Ovis aries: one gene and its partners. The protein of the gene in region 1 purifies or fractionates together with the protein of each later gene. This does not show direct contact. Links are inferred from orthologs where the notes say so. Each region holds a gene or a part of one and is shown in the gene's direction. Other genes may lie near its edges. The genes, in order: CCT3, DCAF7, TLE2, NEDD1 and WRAP53.

What was found.
Region 2: the proteins of CCT3 (region 1) and DCAF7 purify together in Homo sapiens (affinity purification with mass spectrometry; 4 studies listed by BioGRID and IntAct, counting the BioPlex papers as one, with this or other methods). This does not show direct contact. The link is inferred for Ovis aries from reciprocal best matches to the Homo sapiens genes CCT3 and DCAF7.
Region 3: the proteins of CCT3 (region 1) and TLE2 purify together in Homo sapiens (affinity purification with mass spectrometry; 3 studies listed by BioGRID and IntAct, with this or other methods). This does not show direct contact. The link is inferred for Ovis aries from reciprocal best matches to the Homo sapiens genes CCT3 and TLE2.
Region 4: the proteins of CCT3 (region 1) and NEDD1 purify together in Homo sapiens (affinity purification with mass spectrometry; 3 studies listed by BioGRID and IntAct, with this or other methods). This does not show direct contact. The link is inferred for Ovis aries from reciprocal best matches to the Homo sapiens genes CCT3 and NEDD1.
Region 5: the proteins of CCT3 (region 1) and WRAP53 purify together in Homo sapiens (co-immunoprecipitation; 3 studies listed by BioGRID and IntAct, with this or other methods). This does not show direct contact. The link is inferred for Ovis aries from reciprocal best matches to the Homo sapiens genes CCT3 and WRAP53.

The regions. Positions count from the first base shown.
Region 1 is NC_056054.1:106,316,182-106,320,444, reverse strand, and holds the start of CCT3 (T-complex protein 1 subunit gamma), read left to right. Parts: upstream 1-1,449; 5' UTR 1,450-1,514; coding exon 1,515-1,545; intron 1,546-3,532; coding exon 3,533-3,594; intron 3,595-4,263. Other genes in the region: TSACC (TSSK6-activating co-chaperone protein), read right to left, coding at 202-238. UniProt on the Homo sapiens protein: Component of the chaperonin-containing T-complex (TRiC), a molecular chaperone complex that assists the folding of actin, tubulin and other proteins upon ATP hydrolysis.
Region 2 is NC_056064.1:47,618,353-47,621,866, forward strand, and holds part of DCAF7 (DDB1- and CUL4-associated factor 7), read left to right. Parts: intron 1-2,916; coding exon 2,917-3,126; intron 3,127-3,514. UniProt on the Homo sapiens protein: Involved in craniofacial development. Acts upstream of the EDN1 pathway and is required for formation of the upper jaw equivalent, the palatoquadrate. The activity required for EDN1 pathway function differs between the first and second arches.
Region 3 is NC_056058.1:18,564,967-18,568,657, forward strand, and holds the end of TLE2 (transducin-like enhancer protein 2), read left to right. Parts: intron 1-1,141; coding exon 1,142-1,218; intron 1,219-2,898; coding exon 2,899-3,006; 3' UTR 3,007-3,189; downstream 3,190-3,691.
Region 4 is NC_056056.1:166,666,734-166,670,247, forward strand, and holds part of NEDD1 (protein NEDD1), read left to right. Parts: intron 1-3,182; coding exon 3,183-3,299; intron 3,300-3,514. UniProt on the Homo sapiens protein: Required for mitosis progression. Promotes the nucleation of microtubules from the spindle.
Region 5 is NC_056064.1:27,207,183-27,211,392, forward strand, and holds the start of WRAP53 (telomerase Cajal body protein 1), read left to right. Parts: upstream 1-1,402; 5' UTR 1,403-1,588; coding exon 1,589-1,992; intron 1,993-2,143; coding exon 2,144-2,242; intron 2,243-2,460; coding exon 2,461-2,572; intron 2,573-4,210. UniProt on the Homo sapiens protein: RNA chaperone that plays a key role in telomere maintenance and RNA localization to Cajal bodies. Specifically recognizes and binds the Cajal body box (CAB box) present in both small Cajal body RNAs (scaRNAs) and telomerase RNA template component (TERC).

The DNA.
Region 1 (4,263 bases):
ATCTACTATTTAATAGCTCCGGTTCTAGGCACTAGGAATACAAGAACGTTCCATTTAGTGGGAAACGCGTAACAAATACAAATACTTTCCGACTAAGTAATAGGAAAAAACCATACATACAACTAGCTTCATTTTCCCCAAAGCTGGGCAATTAAGAAGGTCTGGTTTTAAGGGAGAGGAAGCAGGGCATCTGACACACACCTCTTTTGTTAGTAGGATGACTAGGAAGCTGCTCCATCTGAACATCCACAGGTGTGGTGCCTGGGGAAAAAAAATCATAGTATCTCATGACTGACAACCCATCTTACTGTTTCACTATTAACAATTTCTCAAGTTCTCCCCAGTAGAGCTCAGGCTGTTCCAATTTGGAGAGGAAAAAGTGTGAAAGGATGTACTGTCTTAGTTTATGGCTAAATAGAAGTAACTGTTTTTGAATTGTTTTTGGTCTCACGGCCCTTCCTTTAGTTTGGAAAACAGCTATTTCCTTTTTTTTCTGGACAAAAGAGTACTTTAACCACGCCTAAACCTTAAGAGTCTCCTATGAACGGGCAAATATTCTGTGTTCTCTCGTTTTAATTTCTGTAGTATCAGTCCTTTTCCTATTCTGTAGGGTTATTTTAAAACTCTTGCTCTCCAGCATCTCCAATGAACCTGCAGCTGAGGCGATGAGGAGGGCACGGGAGGGAATGGGCGTGGAGAAAGAAAATCTTGAGAGCACTACAGGAAACACTTGTTTTGAATAGGACAACTCGGGGAAAAACTTAAGCCATCACCTCCTGGTACCGCTGACAGCCTCAGAATAAAGCATCTGCCTAAGAAAGGGAAAGTCCACGCAGAGCAACGAGTCAGAGATAATAAACCACAATTCCCAGCGCGCCGGGAAGAACAGTCACCGCTCAGCCCAGTCGGATTGGACTACAACTCCCATTTCACCCGGCATCAAACCGGCCAGGTCTTCTCTCGACAGCCGGTTTAGGTCCCGCCCCTCTATGCCTCCCCGTTGCTAAGGCTGGAATGAAAGCGTGGAACTGCCACGCCTTTCTTGACCTTCGCGGCCCGAGAGAAGCCTAGACGCCAGAGTTTAATGACCTCACCTGCGGTGTTAATCGAAAGCCTCAGCCCCAGCACCCACCCTTGTAGTTGATACACATGCGCAGTGGCGTGCCGGCCAACTGCCGGAGCCTCGGCGCTTGCGCTGAGGTTCGCGCCGCACGCGGCCGGGAGCGGCCACCCTATTGCGCAAGCGCCTGTGCCCTCGCATTTCTATCATCGTGCTTTCTCTATCTAACTTGCCCTGCGTTCTTACGCAGGGGGTGGGGCTAAGAATGTCAATTGGTGTGTTTTCGTGCCGGTCAGTAAGATGCATGCAGTGATTGGTGGTGACTCAGAGAGTAGCGGGTTTAGGTGTGAGCCCAGAGGAGGCAGCGTTTTCTGGTCTTCTCTCTGGTTCTCTCTCTCCAGAAGGTTCTGCCGGTTCCCCCAGCTCTGGGTACCCGGCTCTGCATCGCGCCGCCATGATGGGTCATCGTCCGGTGCTCGTGCTTAGTGAGTTGTGGGGAAGGATGGGAAGGGACTCCCCTCGCCGCAGCCCCCCTTTCCGCACTTTACAGCCTTGCCCCAGCCCAGTCGCACCCTGGTTCGGCCACGGAGCCTTCCAGTCGTTCATTTTGAAAGCCCCTTCTCCCGTCTCCCCCTTTTCTTAACCCATTCCCCTGTCTTCCGCAGACGCAAATTGACCTTACCCTCGCCGAACGCGAGGGTTTGTCTTTCCAGGCAAGTGACCTCGGAGAGATGCTTCCCACTCTGCGTTCCGTTCTTCACTCCCAATCCTTGCCCCTGCACGTTTTTCCTTGAGCGATTTTCAGTGTGTAGCTGAATGAATAAATGTTTTTTAATTTGACCTAGCTTTATAATCTTGGTCTATCCTTTAATAGTGGTGTGGCTCCGGCCAAATAAAAATCGAAATAGTTCTATCTTAATTATTAGGGTTAACAGTATTTCCTCGTAGAATTGTGAGGCTTAAATGAGATAAGTAGATACAATTGTTTAAAAGAGGGTCTGGCAAACAGCGAGTTTCCTTGGCCATTTTTTTTTTTTTGATAACTGTTTTGAATTTCCTTTTGTCAACCCCTGTTCCTGATGTAACCCTGCCTCTCTCACTGATCATATTATATTAGATGTAATTATCCCTGCAAATGTCTGCTCCGTTGTAATCTTTCCCACTTTAAGAACTGAGTTTTCCCGATTTCTTAATTGGTTCTTTTTACCTTCGGGAACATCCCAGATTTCAAGTCCCATTTCACTTGTCTTCCCCTGGTATGTTTCTATCCTGTGTAACTTCTGTACCTCATCCTGCATGATCACTTGACATGCTTGACTAGCCATTTTGCCTTTCTCACCATCTCATCTTCTGTGTAAAGAATGCTATTCCGAGATTTTATCTATTTTCTCTACACCTGGAAAATAGTTATTTTAAGACAAGCATTCGCTTAACCCAGGGGGAAAAAAAAAAACAAACTATTTTTTCTGATGAATGCATCAGAAAGATCCATGCAGGATTTTAGTTAACACTGCTTGAAATAGGGATCTAAATCCAGAGAGTTGTGTTTAGATTTGATGGGACCAGATCGAAAATTTTACAACAACTTGTAGGGAAAACATAGTTTGGAGAAAGGAGTGAGAAAAACAATACATTGGTTCAGTTAGGGCCATTGGCTTTTCTCTCATTGAAAGGGCCCTAGGGTGAGTTAGTGGTGCATTGTGCAACCTTTCTGAGGTCCCTGTTAATCCTTGGCATTAGCAGCTGTAACTGATTCTGCTCCCTGTTAAAGTATATAGTACACTGTTACTGGTGGGAAGTTGGTACCCGAGGCATTCTGATTATATCCAAGCATGAAGTGACCATATCTTGCAAACCCCAATACTTTTGAGTGTGTGTTCTCATTCCACAGCACACTGGGGGTCACTGTCAATAATTTATGCTGGGACTGTGGGTATGGTTCACCATATCCTAGTATGAGAATGCAAACTCCCAAACTCTCCCTTGTTATATAAAGGAGAGATTCATGCTTTTTTAGGGACACCAGCCCTTTGAGAATCCAATACATGAGTATAAATACACGAGTGTTTGGTTAGAGGGAAAGTGATGACCAAGATTCCACAGTTGAAGCTGTGTGGATTGTTTCTTATTATATCAGGAATTGAAGTAAATAAGTAAGTAGCCATAAGTATGTGTGCTTATTTTTTAATAGTTTGTTGAGATATAATTGATTTAAAGAGTACAAGTCGATAAGCTTTAATCAGTGTATACATCCATGAAACCTGGGTGTGTGCTTATTTTCAAAGATTAGGGAGTAGCTTATATACAGTGGAGCAATACTGGTCTGTCGCCTTTTTTTTTTTTTTTAAGGATAATTGCTTTACAGAATTTTGTTGTTTTCTGTTGAACCTCAACTTGAATCAACCATAGGTATACATATATCCCCTCCCTTTTGAATCTCCCTCCCATGCCTTTTGTTTTTATCTGTTTTAGGCCAGAACACAAAGCGTGAATCTGGAAGAAAAGTGCAATCTGGAAACATCAATGCTGCCAAGGTAGCATGCGTTGTTTATAATAGTTTGCCTGTATTTGTGTTTGTGTGTTTGTTTGTGATCTAATGGAAGAAAATTTGATTTCCTTTCCTTCAAGACATTTCCCTTTTGGTGGTAAGGAGGAAGAAGCCTTCCCTCTCTGAGATGTGTCTAATGGCCTTCTCATATTGTGCATATTATATTGCGTGTTTGTGTCTGTCTCCCATACTAGACTGAGTTACTTGGATACAAGAACTATATTAATTCCCTTTTGTATTCCTAGTACTCACTGTGGATCCTGGATAGGTATATTCAGTAAATACCTTTTGAATGAAAGAATGAAACAGCCCTGGATATAATCTAGCATGGGGTGGAACCACTCTCATGGAAGGAAGTACAGATATGTGGACTCTCAGTTACCTGTGAGCTGCTGGGAAACTGTAGCTGTGAGAGCTGTGTCCCTTTTTTTCCTTTTGAAAAGTTATTCCTTTGCACATCCAGAAAACATTCCCAAAGGGGGAAAGACAACAGAATCTAGCCATATGACACCCTATATTGAAAGTTAGTTGCCAACCCTACTACTTTAGAAGTGTCCTTGTTAAAACACTGGCTCTGTGGGTTGCCCATGCCCCTTCCCCTGAAACGCACAATCACCAGCCTCTGGTTTGTGCTTAACACGTTTTGTATTTTCTT
Region 2 (3,514 bases), on another chromosome or scaffold:
AATCTTATAATTTTAGGGTAACACTTACCTTGAAGTATGTTTACTTTTTTGGGAGCAGGAAGGCAAGAAGAGGGGGAATTTCCTGGCAGACAAAACTAATTGATTAACTCTTCTGTAAACTTGTTTTATGAATTTCTAGTATGTTCACTTAATACTTATATGTGTAATACTATTTGGAATTGAATATGGTTAACTTTGATGGTGATGTTTCTCCTATGTGTATTGGAAGAGCTGAAGGGAGTGAGCTCTAATTGTATTTACAGAGCCTTCTTCTGAGTGGTTTTGTAAAATGGTCATAAATCTTTTAACTCCCAGAGCCACCACGTGCTGGTCCTCCACCAGGGAAATCACAGGATGTCTCCTGTGGGTAGTGTTTCCTTTTCCCTCCAACTCCTGTGCAGCGAGGAGTGTTAATGTCTGTACAGATTAAAAGGATGCGTAGACATTAGGTGAGAGCTGTGAGGTTGTCCACAGAAGTTGGTGACTAGATTATCATTCTTAGTGAGAGGTCATCCTTCAGCTTTCTGTGCTCCCAGCGCCGAGATCTGTTAAAGTCTGCTTGACTGGGTCACCATGAAACAAGGGGCAGAGAAAGAGAGCTTGACCTGCCGGGAACGCCAGGAAGGACGTCCTGGCACCCAGTGGAGCAAGTTGCTACATTTTGGTTCTGTGACACTTAGCATGTGTTCTCTGTCAGGGTCCAACCCGGAAAACTAGAGCTACTCCGCATGTTTAACCTGAGGGGATTTAATGAGGAGATGGCTCACACAGCTGCTGCTGCTGCTGCTGCTGCTAAGTCGCGTCAGTCGTGTCCGACTATGTGCGACCCCAGAGACGGCAGCCCACCAGGCTCCCCCGTCCCTGGGATTCTCCAGGCAAGAACACTGGAGTGGGTTGCCATTTCCTTCTCCAGTGCATGAAAGTGAAAAGTGAAAGTGAAGTCGCTCAGTCGTGTCCGACTCTTAGCAAACCCATGGACTGCAGCCCACCAGTCTCCTCCATCCATGGGATTTTCCAGGCAAGAGTACTGGAATGGGGTGCCAGATGATGGTAAAGATGCCAGATGATGGTAAAGATGATGGTAAAGCTGAGGAGCCACACTGGCCGCAGTGAGGGCGTCTGGGCAAGAAGAACAGCGAGTTTAACAGCCAGCAGGCCCTGAACCAACACCCTGGCCTCAAAGAAATGAACCTCAGGATGGTTGTCCGGAGAGAAACATGACACCTCCCAGCACCTTTGATTTTTCTCTGTCCGCATCTCTGTTGAAGTACAGACTTGCTCGGAGGTTCTCATTGCTGCTGGCGGGTTGGTGCAGAGGAGGGTAGCGTGTGTCTGGGAGTTGTCGCCCGCTCTTGGCTTCTGATGAAATATGTGGGTGGAACACAGAGGAAGGAGCAGTCAGAGTGGCTCTACACGCTTGGCTGTACTGCCCGTGGGCACCTTATTGCTTAGTGATGCTGCCGTGGTGTCCCTGTGCCTGGGAGTCAGAGCGCCAGCTGTGGGTGCACGTGTGGATAAACAGTGCCGGCCAGTGCCTAGGTCTGTCGGGTCTTGGAATGGCCAGCCTAGTTTCCTGCTGAACCACTCCTCGTTCCCACCGTAGAGAGGGAAGTGCAATTTCTTCATTGTCAGCCAGAGGAAGGGCAATTTATGATGTTGATTTGAAACAGATGCTTGTTAGTCAGTGTCCCCCGGAAGGTAGAACCTCAGGAAGGCTGGAGTCACAGTGTGAGGGACAGGTTCCACTCATGTCTCCCCAGAAGTCAGCTCTTACAGTCCTTGACCCCAGGAGATGGGTTTTGTTTGGCATTTTTGTTTTTTGTTGTTCAACATTTTGTTTTTCTTTTTTTCTCTCTCCGCTTGTCTGGCTCTGGCTTTGTCGGTCTCTCTTTGTCCCTTTCTTTCTCTGAAGCCCTCTGTTGCTCTCTGCCTGTTTTCTCATAGACGTTAGTGCAATACAAAGTTTGCAGCAGGTAATAAATGCATGCGAAGAGTTGACTCATTGCAAAAGACTCTGATGCTGGGAGGGATTGGGGGCAGGAGGAGAAGGGGATGACAGAGGATGAGATGGCTGGATGGCATCACTGACTCGATGGACGCGAGTCTGAGTGAACTCCAGGAGTTGGTGATGGACAGGGAGGCCTGGTGTGCTGCGATTCATGGGGTCGCAAAGAATCGGACACGACTGAGTGACTGAACTGAACTGAATAAATGCAGAAGAAAATAATTCAAAACCTAAGTTGTTATACTTATGAACACAAACCAACTAGGAGAAACAGCATTTCCTAGGAGAGCAATATTAACCCTCTTTGTAAATAAAGGAATACCCGAGCCTCCCATGATTCAGAGGGGCTCTTACCTCTTTCTTGCACATGGGTCTCAGGTCCAGGTTTCACAGCAGAACTGTGGTCAGAGGAGGGCCACTTCTGCCTCTCCAGTCGATGACCTCAGCCTTCCTGTGGTCATGGACTGCTCTGATTGTACATAGATGAAAGCCACAAGGGCCAGGAAATAAATGTCTCAAGTCTCGTAACAGAGCGGCAGGAGACAGCCACTGGTTCTGGCTTCATTGAGCCTGTCCAAGCCGACCGGATAGAATACTTGCTGAGTTATCTGTGCTCTGTTGGTCAGCAGGGTGTGTGCTGTGTTACCGCGGGAGGTGGAGGAAGAATACTTGGAAGGCAGCAAGTGAGAGGAAGCCTACCAGCTTCCACTGTAGGATGGTCGTCACTGTTTGGGAAATCGTTGGTGTTAGCACCCTCAGTTTCCAGTCCTCGCAGGCGTGGTGTGGCTTTATTTACCTCCTTCTAAGTCATGAGCAGGGGTTTAGATGAACCAGGGGACAGTAGGTTTCCCTGTGATATGAAAAGGAGGTAACTGACCTGAATCTGACAGTTGCTTCTTACTCACCAACAGGTCTACGACATTGCATTTAGCCGGGCAGGGGGTGGCAGGGACATGTTCGCCTCTGTGGGTGCTGATGGCTCGGTGCGGATGTTTGACCTCCGTCACCTAGAACACAGCACCATCATTTACGAAGACCCACAGCATCACCCACTGCTGCGCCTCTGCTGGAACAAGCAGGACCCCAACTACTTGGCCACTATGGCTATGGATGGAATGGAGGTGAGAACCCCACTTCGGGCTAACCTAGGCCCTGCCACTCCGCTCCAGCCCGGCTTAGTGGATCCAGGAGAGCGGTTCTCAGCTGATGGCAGTTTTCTCCCCAGAGGATTTTTGGATCCACCTGGAGCCGTTTTGGATTGTCCCAACTTCGGAGGGGGTGGGGGGTGCAAGAAGGGGTGGTGCTCCTAGTGTCTGGGAGTTGGAGGCCTGTGGTGCCCAGGACCACTCCCCGTAACACACAGCACAGCGTTGCCCCACCCCAATGTCAGGAGTGCCGAAACTGAGAAAACCTGACCTAGAGTAAGGGCCGTGTGTCGAGAACTTGTAATACATAGAGAGCTGGACTCAGAGCCAAGAAAAGCAGTATCTAAAAAGTCAACCAAATCAT
Region 3 (3,691 bases), on another chromosome or scaffold:
ACAGAAAAAGAGGATGCCCGATTACATTTGAATCTTAAACAACACATCACTCCTTAATAGAAGTACGTCCCAAGTATTGCATGGGACATACTCTAACCAGAAGTCCCAAACCTCAGGATCTATTGCCTGATGATCTAAGGTAGAGATGATGTAATAATAATAGGAATAAAGTGCGCAATAAATGTCATGCACTGGAATCACCCTGAAGCCACCCTCTCTTATCTTGTTCCTCATGGAAAAATTGTCCTCCATGAAACCAGCCCCTGGTGCCACAAAGGTTGGGGACCGCTGCTCTAAAGGACAAAGAATTTGTTAGTACCTTGTGGGATATACTTGTACACTAAACAGCATATAATTTATTAGCATAAGTATGTCCCCAAAATGCATGAGATATCATTTATACTATTTTAGTGCATAGATCTCAAATATTGCATGGGATATACTTACACTAATTTTGTTTGTTGTTTTCAGTATTGATATATCCCAAGTAGTTCATGGAACTTACATATATTTAAAACAAACAGAGGGACTTCCCTGTTGGCCCAGTGGCTGCCAATGCAGGGAGCCTGGGTTTAATCCCTAGTCAGGGAACTGGATCCCACATGCCCTAAGTCCTGGCACAGCCAAATACATACATATTTGTTAAAAAATAGATAATGAACTATTTGGGACCCACCTGTACTAAAAATGATTCATGGTTGATCTTAGGTTCAAATGTAACTGAGCACCCTGGTTTTTCTTTTTGTTTTGCTTCTTTCCCCGAATTTTGGCCACGCCACATAGCTTTTGGGATTTTAGTTCCCTAAGCAGGGATTAAACCTGGTCCCTCAGCAGTGAAAGCACAGTCTAACCACTGGACAAGTAGGGAACTCCCTGGGCACCCTATTTTTATCTGACCACCCTCTCTTGGGGCTCCCCTTTCTTGAAGGTCAGTTAGAGCTCTTTGGGACCTTGGGTTTACCATCTGGCACTTGGCGGGAAGGCTGGAGCCTCAGTAAAGGGGCTTCCTGTCCGCCAGGAGAGGGCAGAGGTGCAGGAAAGGAAGGGAGAGGCCAGACCAGGTTGCCCTGTCTCTGTCTGCCACCCCTAGCCCTGGCTTCTTCCAGTCCACCACCCTCCTGAACTCACCCTCCTCCCCCAGGGCGGTGGTTCGTGAGCACAGGGAAGGACAACCTGCTCAATGCCTGGAGGACGCCGTACGGGGCCAGCATCTTCCAGGTACTGCATGTCTGAAGTCTCCACCCCACCACCACCACTGCAGGACACCAGGTGCCCCAGGACCCAGAGAGGGGTGGGGGTTGAACAGGGGAGCGTCCTCACCAGCCTGAAGGCCACATCTGTGCACAAACTGTGTTATTAGTTGTGAAGTTGCTCAGTCGTATCCGACTCTTTGCAACCCCATGGACTGTAGTCTACCAGGCTCCTCCATCCATGGGATTTTCCAGGCAGGAATACTGGAGTGGGTTGCCATTTCCTTCTCTAGGGGATCTTCCCAACCCACGGATTGAACCTGGGTCTCCTGCATTGTAGGCAGACACTTTACCGTCTGAGCCACCAGGGAAGTGTGGTGATAAATCCATATAAAATTCACCATCTTAACCATTTTAAAATGCAGGGCTCAGTGGCATTAAGTACATTCATACTGTCCTATAACCATCCCTACCATCATCTCCAGAACTTTCTCATCTTCCCATACTGAAACTCTGTCCCCATGAGACACTGACTTCCCATCCCCTGGCCCCACCGTCTACTTCCTGTCTCTGTGGATTTGATGACTCATGTGAGTGCGATCACACAAAATTTATTCTTCTGTGTCTCTTCTCTCACTGAGCATCACATCCCCCAAGGTCCATCCATGATGTAGCAGGTGTCAGAACCTCCTTCCATTTTAAGGAATATAGAGACTAATATTCTACTGTGTGGATGGACCATACTGTGTTCATTCATCACCTGTTGATGGGTACTAGGGTTGTCTCCACTTCTGGGCTGCTGTGAATTGCGCTGCTGTGAACATTCATGTACATTCTCCTGTGCATGCCTGTTTTCATTTCTCCTGGGCAGATATCTTGGAATGGAATTGCTGAGAGTTGTTTAATCTTTGAAGGAACTGCCAGACTCTTTCCCAAATTTCTTATTCCCACTGGCAATATGGAAGGGTTCCGATTTCTCTCCATCCTCCACAACACTTACTCTGGCATCTTTCTTAGAGCTATCCTGCTCGATGAGGAACAGTTTTTACATTTTTTAAAGGACTGTGGGGGAAAAAATAGTAGATGATGTAACACTGACTGATTTGGTCCTTGCACTTACCGGCCAGAGCTTACTGGACTTAAATGAGCTTTCAGGTCAAAGCCTGAAATTGTATTGGGCCCCTTTCAGTAGTTTGCCGAGGGAATTCCCTGGTAGTCCATTGCTTAGGACTCTGTGCTCTCACTGCCCAGAGCTTAGGTTCAATCCCTGGTCAGGGAACTAAGATCCCTCAAGCTGCGTGGTCAAAAAAAAGAAACAGTTTGCTGGTGTAGGTCATCCTACTTTTAAGCCTTAGCTCTCTTCTGTGCTGTGTGACCTCATGTCTGATACACACCCTCTCTAAGCTTCCCAGAAGATGGTGGTTCTGCTGTTCTAGGGAACTGAGGTCTGGCTCTTCCCAGGAGCATCATCACTCTTCTCTGGAAGAACTGTTACCCTCCTTCTCTCCTCACGGCTAGGCTCCCCATGTTGGGCCCCCAAGTCCTGTCTCAGCTCCGGCCTTGACCATAGCTCACCCTTGGGGACAGGTGCTGCCCCAGTTGCCTTGTGTCTTTCCTCTGAATGTGAAGGTGGTCAGGAGCATGAGCCAGACTGTGCTGGCCTTGGCTGTGCCTCACTCTCCCCTCCTCTGCCCCCTCCTGTCCACAGTCCAAGGAGTCCTCCTCTGTGCTCAGTTGTGACATCTCCGGGAACAACAAGTACATCGTGACAGGCTCTGGGGACAAGAAGGCCACCGTGTATGAGGTGGTCTACTGAGACCCCCTTCTTCCTGCACCCCTGGCCTGACTCCCAGGGGAGGGTCATTCTGAACCTCCCCTCTAGTCCTACCACGAGCCCTAAATCTCATCCATGCTCTGGCTGAGCCCTCGTGTCCTCCCCTGCTGGATGTGGGGCCAGATGCACAGGAGGACCTTTGGGAAATAAATGTATTTATCACAACTGCCTTCTTGTTTTGGGCTGGGGAACTGGGGACATTGCTCATCCTGGAGGGACAGGGTGAGCAAATGGTGATTTCAGAACCTTACTTAGTGGATGGAAAAGTGCTGGCCAGCAAGAGCCACTCCCTGTAAACCAGTCTCTCCTCCTTGGCACAGCTGACACTGGGGCTGCATAATTCCCGGTTGGGGAGCCGTGCCAGGGCCTGTGGGGTGCTGAGCAGCATCCCAGCCCCCACCCACTCAATGCCAGGAGCACAGATGTCGCCAGACATGGTCCCCTGGGGCTTAGACTCACCCCTAGGGAGTAGAAGCCCTAGTCTAATGGGACACGAGTATCTTGCGAAGGACTGAGGACCTACACCTGGGGCTGTGCAGGCAAGGCTTGGGAGCATCTCTCTATGAGATCAGAAGAGACTGGAGCAGGAAGAAGGGCTCCAGAGACTTCCCTGGCAGTCCACAGGTTAAGACTCCACGTTTCCACTGCAGGGGGCATGGGTTCCATG
Region 4 (3,514 bases), on another chromosome or scaffold:
TCTCACTATATATTCTCACCCTTTTGTTTCATAAGTTAATCTCTCTGATTTAGGATAATACTGGCTTTTTCATTTCCAATCACACACTTCTTGAAATTTGTTTCCATTTTAAATAAGATCTAAATAAAAAGGAATATATAGTTGGTGGTTCTTTTTTTAAATTTCAGAGTTTTATAGTGGACTCTAAACCATAATGAATTGTCATGATTTTATACACTGGAGTAGATAAGGTGGCCTAATCAGTCATTGTTCTACTCCACTTGCTTTGGAGTGGAACATAGCGGGACCACACAGTATAAATTCATCTAACATATTAATAAAAATGACTTAGAATTTCTAGCAGTCCTTTTATTTCTAGCAGTCCTTTCCTAAAGGTGTCTGGTAGGATTGAGCTCAGCATCAGTTCCAGCCCACAGGTGATAGAGACTGGACAGATAGAATGTGTGAGGGTAGGAATGGCACTTGCCTTTCAGCCTCAGTAAGTGGAGTTGAGGCATGTGGGATCTAGTTCCCGGACCAGGAAGTGAAACTGCATCCCCAGAGTACCACTGGGCAGTAAGGTAAACTGTACTCTTTAAGAGCAGGCAGAACATCTTAGTCATTTTTGGATCTTCAGATCATGTCCAAGTTGATCATCGAACATTTGTTGAATTAAATATCAACATCAAAACAGTTTTGATTTTGGGACTGCCCTGGTAGTCCAGTGGTTAAGACTCCTCCTTCCAGGGCAAGGGATGCAGGTTCGATCCCTGGTCCAGGAACTAGGTCTCACATGCCTCGACAAAAGACCCTGCATGCTGCAACTAAGACCTGACTCAGCCAAAACAAATAAAAAGCCAAAAAACAAAAACAATTTTGATCTCCACTTCTGCCACTGTTTAAGGTGGAACTTTATTTAAAGTCCACATTAATTTTCTTTGATTTTGTATTTTACCTCTCTAAAGTAGACAGATTGGTCTTGACAGTATGATAATGGATATGATAACCTAGAAATTTGACCTGATGTTATCTTCAGATTTTAAAGTTCTACCCATTGCTTTTGTCTTAGGGTACAGGATTCCTGTAATAGCCAATTTCCATTAATTATTTAAGTTCATTACCTGCATTAATAATATATTAACATAAAAAATCCTCTCTCATTAGGGTAAGCAGCTAAAAACATAGGTTTTGTTCTAAGCCCTTATGAATAATTTCAGTTGTTTTTGATTGGAATTTTAATATATTGATCTTTGATGGATGCTATTCTTATCTATTTTATTTAAAGGTAAACTCCTGATCTGCAGTAATAACCAGATTCTAAATTTTATTAGTCTATTTAGACCGAAGTCAATTCCTCAAATGATGTCTGCAAGAGAATTATAGTGACCATACTGAAATATTGATGTACTGTGCCCCAGTATTTTTTTTTTGTTAATAATTTTGACTCGGTTAGAATTTCAAAGCTGGAAGAAACCTTGGGGGAGAGAGAGGGGGTCATCTGCACCCTTTTAAGAATCTGGTGCTCTCTTGAGCAGAGGATGTTTTTGAAATGCATGGACTATCAATAACAGTAGATCTGGTCCTCATCTTTCATTTCTCACAGGTAGAAATGTAGGCTCAGAAAGATGAGATTACTTGCCTAGAGCTACGGTAATTTGCCTTCAGTCACAAAATGTACGCTTTGGAATTAATTTCTATTCCTCCCCCCCCCCCTTATGGTGTTCAGCTGGAGTAGGAATAATTAATGTAACTATATAGTGTATCTGAAAGTTAATAGGGAAAAAACAACCATGCAACATTGTAGCATAGTTACTGATGATACCACCAGATAGATGACATGCATGCATACTCATTGTGAGAAACTTGGTTACCACTGTATTTTTAGCCATTTGTTCTAAAAATATTTATTGAACATGGGTATGGTCTTTGCTGTAAGGAAACTGACATTCTGGTGAGAGACAGAATAAATGAGTAAACAGTACCCAGTGACAGTGGTAAGTTGTTAATGCAGAGAGCTGAAATACGTTACTGAGTTAGCAGGTTACATTAGGTGGGGAAGGGGTCTTCTGAAGTTGTGGTATTTAAGTTGATATCTATTGATCAGATGAAGTCATTCAAGCCAAGGTTCAGGGGAATTAACTTTCCAGGCAAGAATAGCTGTGTAGAAGTCTGGAGGCAAATATAGTGTTATTACATTTAAGGAATGGAAGATGGTCCTTGTGCCTAGAGAATCACTGGGTGGGGAGGAAACTGGTGACAGACCAGTTAAGAAAGGGCTAGATGAATAGGGCAATGAAAGCCAGGTTGATGATGAGTTTGGAATTTAGGTGTGATTGGAAGCCACTGAGGATTTTAAAATAAGACACACATGATCTGATTTACATTTCATAAAGGTCACTCTCTATATAGAACATGATATGTAGGGAAGCAAGAGTGGAAGGCAGACAACCAGTTAGGAGGCTGCTGTTGTTCTTTGACAAGTTTTGGATCAGGGTGCTTGCAGTGACGGTAGATAGAGGGGGGCCCCTGTAGGGTATATTTTACAGTTGGAGTTTGGAGAACTTGCTGATAGACTGAGTGGAGGGAGAACAAGGAATCAAGGTTCCTTCTGAACTTCTGTCTTGAGTATCTGGATGAATGGGACCTTACAGTGTGGGGGAACAGTGTAGACTTAGTTTCTGATGACAAGATGTTTGAGACTTGGTCCATTTTGGGGAGAGGCACTGTGACTTGGAACTAGTATCTTGTCCTCTTTATAAAACTTCCCCCCTTCTGTAAATTGAAGGGTTTAAACTAGGCATTCTTCAAAGTCTCCTCTACCTTTAGAATTTTCTGAGCTGTGGGTTGATTTTAATTTGAGATATTCTGTGGAGTATAAGAGCAGGTGTTGTTAAAGGGACAATATGCAGGGCAAGTAAGCCCTAAAGGGACTCCGAGACTTGGTGGTTTCCTAAGCTTCCTCTGTCACCACCTTTATGTGGAAAGAACATGAATCTGGTTGATTTCCTTAAAGCCATTTTGAACACTTTGCAGACTATTGAATCCTTGTGGAAGATGATGAGAGCTGAATCTTTAGTACAAGAATGGACATGTCTATAGCATTTCCCTCAGATGTTTTTCATGTGCTTACTAAGTGTTGGATGAGAATTGAAAGTCAGCTCTGGTCTCTATTAACTTAACATGACTTTTTTTTTTTTAAATAGCAAAAGCAGACATGTGTCAGTTTAAATTCAACGTCTATGTATTTGGTAAGCGGAGGCCTGAATAGTACTGTTAATATTTGGGATTTAAAATCAAAAAGAGTTCATCGATCTCTTAAGGTAAGCAACTTGAAAAAAAAATCTTTACAGAAATGTGTTTATTAGTAATTACCAAAATTTAATTTTGAGCTTTTATGATAAAAATAAGCAGCTTCAGAATGAAGTGAGATTTGTTAGGGAATATAAAGATGTGTAGCCAAAAGCTTACTTTTTTGAGTTTATTTTTCCTTCCATGTATGTTACTGTGTTATTGTGTTGCTGGGGTTAAAACTTTT
Region 5 (4,210 bases), on another chromosome or scaffold:
TCACCGTCCTGGGATGCACGCTCCGAGGTCGGACGCTAGATGACCCCGGAGACCAGCGGCCACTGCGGCCAGGATGGTGGCTCTGGACTTTTGAAGAGCTCAAAACTTTTAGCGCCAGTCCGGAGCACGTGGGAGGGGAAAATCCCAATCCCAGCAACCCTCGCGAGGCTCCTGGCACAAAGCTGGATAGTCGCCATGACAAGTAAGGGCAAGCAATTCCCCTGCGGGCGGAGGCGAGGGGAAAGGAGAGTAGGAGAGGAGAGTGCGGGGAAAGTCAGGATTCTCGCCATATTGGTAGTGTAGCTAGTGACCGTTTGGATAGGGGAAGTTCGACAAGCGAAAACCATAACGGCCGAATTGGTGGAAACCATTTTGGAAGGTTTCTGCCATTGTTTCATATATGGTGAAAGGAAGAAAGCCTTTGCACTTGCATTCTCTGACTGGAACACTCCTCTCCTAGATAGCTGGATAGTTTTTACGCATCAACTAAACTGTCAACTTTTAGAAAGGCCTTCCATAATGTCCCTATCTAACGTATACCTCCATATGCGCTATATTACACCATCTTAATTATTTTCACACCCCTATCACTTTCTGACCGAGAAGGCAATGGCACCCCACTCCAGTACTCTTTCCTGGAAAATCCCATGGATGGAGGAGCCTGGTAGGCTGCAGTCCATGGGGTCGCTAAGAATCGAACACGACTGAGCGACTTCCCTTTCACTTTTCATTTTCATGCATTGGAGAAGGAAATGGCAACCCATTCCAGTGTTCTTGCCCGGAGAATCCCGGGGACGGGGGAGCCTGGTGGGCTTCCGTCTATGGGGTCGCACAGAGTCGGACACGACTGAAGCGATTTAGCAGCAGCAGCATCACTTTCTGAAGTGATTTGTTCCTTGCCTTCAATACATAGCAACCTAAGACTTAGAAGGGCAGAGACCTTGTCTACAATCTTATTGATTGTTGTTTCCCAGTACCTATTACAGTACTGGGTAGCAAGTAAGAGTTCAATAATAAATATTTATTGAATGAATGAAAAGAGACTGAGGTCTGAAAAATTTAGCTAATAAGATGCAAAACCTGTAACATCTAATAGCGCTGGCGCCCTCTGCCGGTTGGAAAGGAGAGTAGATGCTTTAAGAACGATCGCCGAAGACCGCAGGGGGAGCTCAAGCACTTCCCGTCGAGGAGGAAGCTTTCGGACTACAGCTCCCAGCAGCCACTTCAAACTTCCCAGGGCCCCAGGGCTTGACGGGAACCCGTGACCTGTTACATTCCTACCCCTCCCCTCCCTTGGGTTGCGCGCGAAGTCTGATCAGGGATGCGGATGTCCAATGGAAAGGTGGACCCAAATCTCGCGAGAACTGGTGGCACGTAGCTACCGACTAGGCTTAGGAACGCTGTTTATTCGCTGGGCCTTGTGCCCCCTCCAGGGAGGAGGAATACACTGGAGCATTTTTCCGGTTCTGCATCCCAATCCCTGCGAACTTTGAAGCGGTCTCGGCTGCTCCGCGGGCCCAGCCCCTGGTAGTCGACGGGAAGAGGGCTGCCTGGCCGCGGCTGATGTCTGCCGCGCTTCCTCTGCAGTATGAAGACGCCGGAGGCTCCACCATTAGCTCCAGACTGCCTTCCTTCAGACCAGGCCCCAGCTCCAGCCTGTCTCTCTCATCAGGCTTCCCCGATGGATAAAAATACGGACCCTGAACTGATGCCGCCGCTACGCGATGGGGATGATCTGCCCCAGGTGTCCTCAGATCCCATGGCTGGCTTAGCTCTGTCCCAGGAGCTGGAGGAAGGGGTCCCAGCTTCTCTCTCCACTCCCCTGGAAACAGGGTTTGGTCCTCCTAGTGAGTTGAGCAGTCGAGTCGAGGAGAAAGAACTTTCTGAAAATGTGAGCCTTCCTGCAGAAGAAACAAACAGGCCAGAGTTGGGGCCCGGAGAAGACGTGGAAGGTGTGTCTGAAGAACTCAGTCCAGAGGATGAGGGATACACGTAAGTGGTGCTAGCAGTTGGCTCAGGAGTCTGAGGAGATTGGGAGAGTGAGGTAATCTCATAGGCCAGTCCTCAGCCCCATTTCTCCGGGCTCATTTCCACTTCGCTTTGGCGACCCAGGTTTGTTGTCTACCCCCCATCTTCCTTACAGCATTTGGAACTACAACTTCTCCCAGGTACCTCGGTTTCTCAGTGGTTCTTGGTCAGAGTTCATCACCCAACCTGAAAACTTCTTGAAAGGCTGTAAGTGGTAAGTAAGGATTATAGGGCAGCGAGAAAACCACGCCCAGTTATCTGGGAGAAGGATCTACCATGGTGTGAGAAGGATCTTCAGTTGCGTTTAGGGTTGTGTGTCTTCTCTCCTCAAAGTCCTAGGGGTGTTTACCTATCCTAGAGGTCAGCTCAGCCCTAGCCCTGCACTTGGAAAATCTAGGTCTGTCCAGCTTTCTAACTCTTTCATCCTCCTAGGGCCCCTGATGGTTCCTGCATCTTGACCAATAGTGCTGATAATATTCTGCGGATTTATAACCTGCCCCCAGAGCTGTACAATGAAGGGGAGCAACTGGAATATGCAGAAATGGTAAGGGCAGGGGCTAAGAGTTAAGTGCCGCTTCATCAGACATTGCACATTCAAGGCCTTCCTGTAGATGGAGAAAGAACAGTCCACATGTTTCCTGTTCTCAGGCAGGACACTTCTTCGCCATGAGTTTCCACAAGTAATATTTCTACCCTGAATTCTGAAGTCACTTAAAAAGATGTTTGTCCTTTAGTTAGGAATATGTGTTTCCTGTAAGAGTAGTGGCTTTCTCACTGTGGTTTTTAATTGACTTACAGAGTTGTGTTGAATGACCACCAGTAGTCACTTACTGTGTTTGGTATTGGGGTAAAGTGATGAATGAGGCAAAGAGCTGGTTTGCTTTTTTGTGTGGGAGACAGACAACAAATGTGTAAACCAATAAATAATGAAGTTCTTTATAGATAATAATAAGTCTGTGAAGGAAATAAATAAATGCTATGAAGGAAATAAACAACAAAGAGAGACTAACTAGAGGATGCCGCTTTATTTCTACCTATTTGTATTTTTGAATAGTGTCATTTTATTTAGGACTTCCCTGGTGGCTCAGATGGTAAAGCATCTGCCTACAATGCGGGAGACCCAGGTTCGATCCATTTTATTTACCTATTTATTTAAACTTTATTTATTTGGCTGTGCCAGATCTTAGTTGTGGCACGCAGGGTCTTTTAAATGTGGCGTGTTGGATCTAGTTTCCTGACCAGGGATTGAACCCAGGCCCCCTGCATTGGGAGCTCAGAGTTTTAGCCACTGGACCACTGGGGAAGTCCCGAGGATGCTGCTTTAGATTAAAAAAAAGGTCAGGGGAGGGGCTCTCTGAAGAAGGGGCATTTGAGCTGATATCTGAAGGATGACGAGATCAGTCATGTGAAGTTTTCCAAGAAAAGGCAAAAATGCTATTATACAAAGACCTAGAGTGGGAAAGAGCCTTGTGTGTTCAAGCAACAGAAAGCAAGCCAGTACGCTTGGACCAAGGCCAGTGAGGGGGAAAGCGTGGTGAAGATGGCAAGGTGTCTGGCAGCCACATCTTGTGAGTAGGGCATTTGGAGTGTTTTGAGGAAGCTGTGGGAGAGATTAAAAGAGAGGAGTGAAATGATGGCTGAAATCTAGAGAATGGATTGTAAGTGGGCAAGAGTGGAAATTCATCTGGATGTGTATCCCACAGTCCAGGTAAAAAATGATGTTGGCTTGTGCTGGTGTGGTGTCAGGAGAGATAGAGGTGGGTGGTTTTGAAGTATATTTCTTAGGACTTGGAAGTCAATTGGGTGGATAGGGATACAGTTTACTCAGAGGATATGAAGAAGTGTTGAGACAGAGGTAAGGATTTTTAGATACTTTAAATGTGAAATGTAAATCTAAGGAGGGACTTGGAGAAGGGTGCTGGGGATATACGTTGAAAGTGGGAGAGCATGTCGATGGTATCTTGGAATTGAGGATGGAGTCAATCTCAAGAGAGAGTGGAGATGGAGAAGAAGGCTCAAGCAGATGGAGCGCTACGGCGCATGGAGATGGGTACAGGAGAAGTTACAAAAGTGGAGGCCAAAATCACGTCTAATGATTCTGATCATGTCTAGCCCTGTTGAGAGTGAGGGCAGATTTAGAAAAGGACCGTAGAAAACGTTAATGACTTTAAGAAAAGCACTT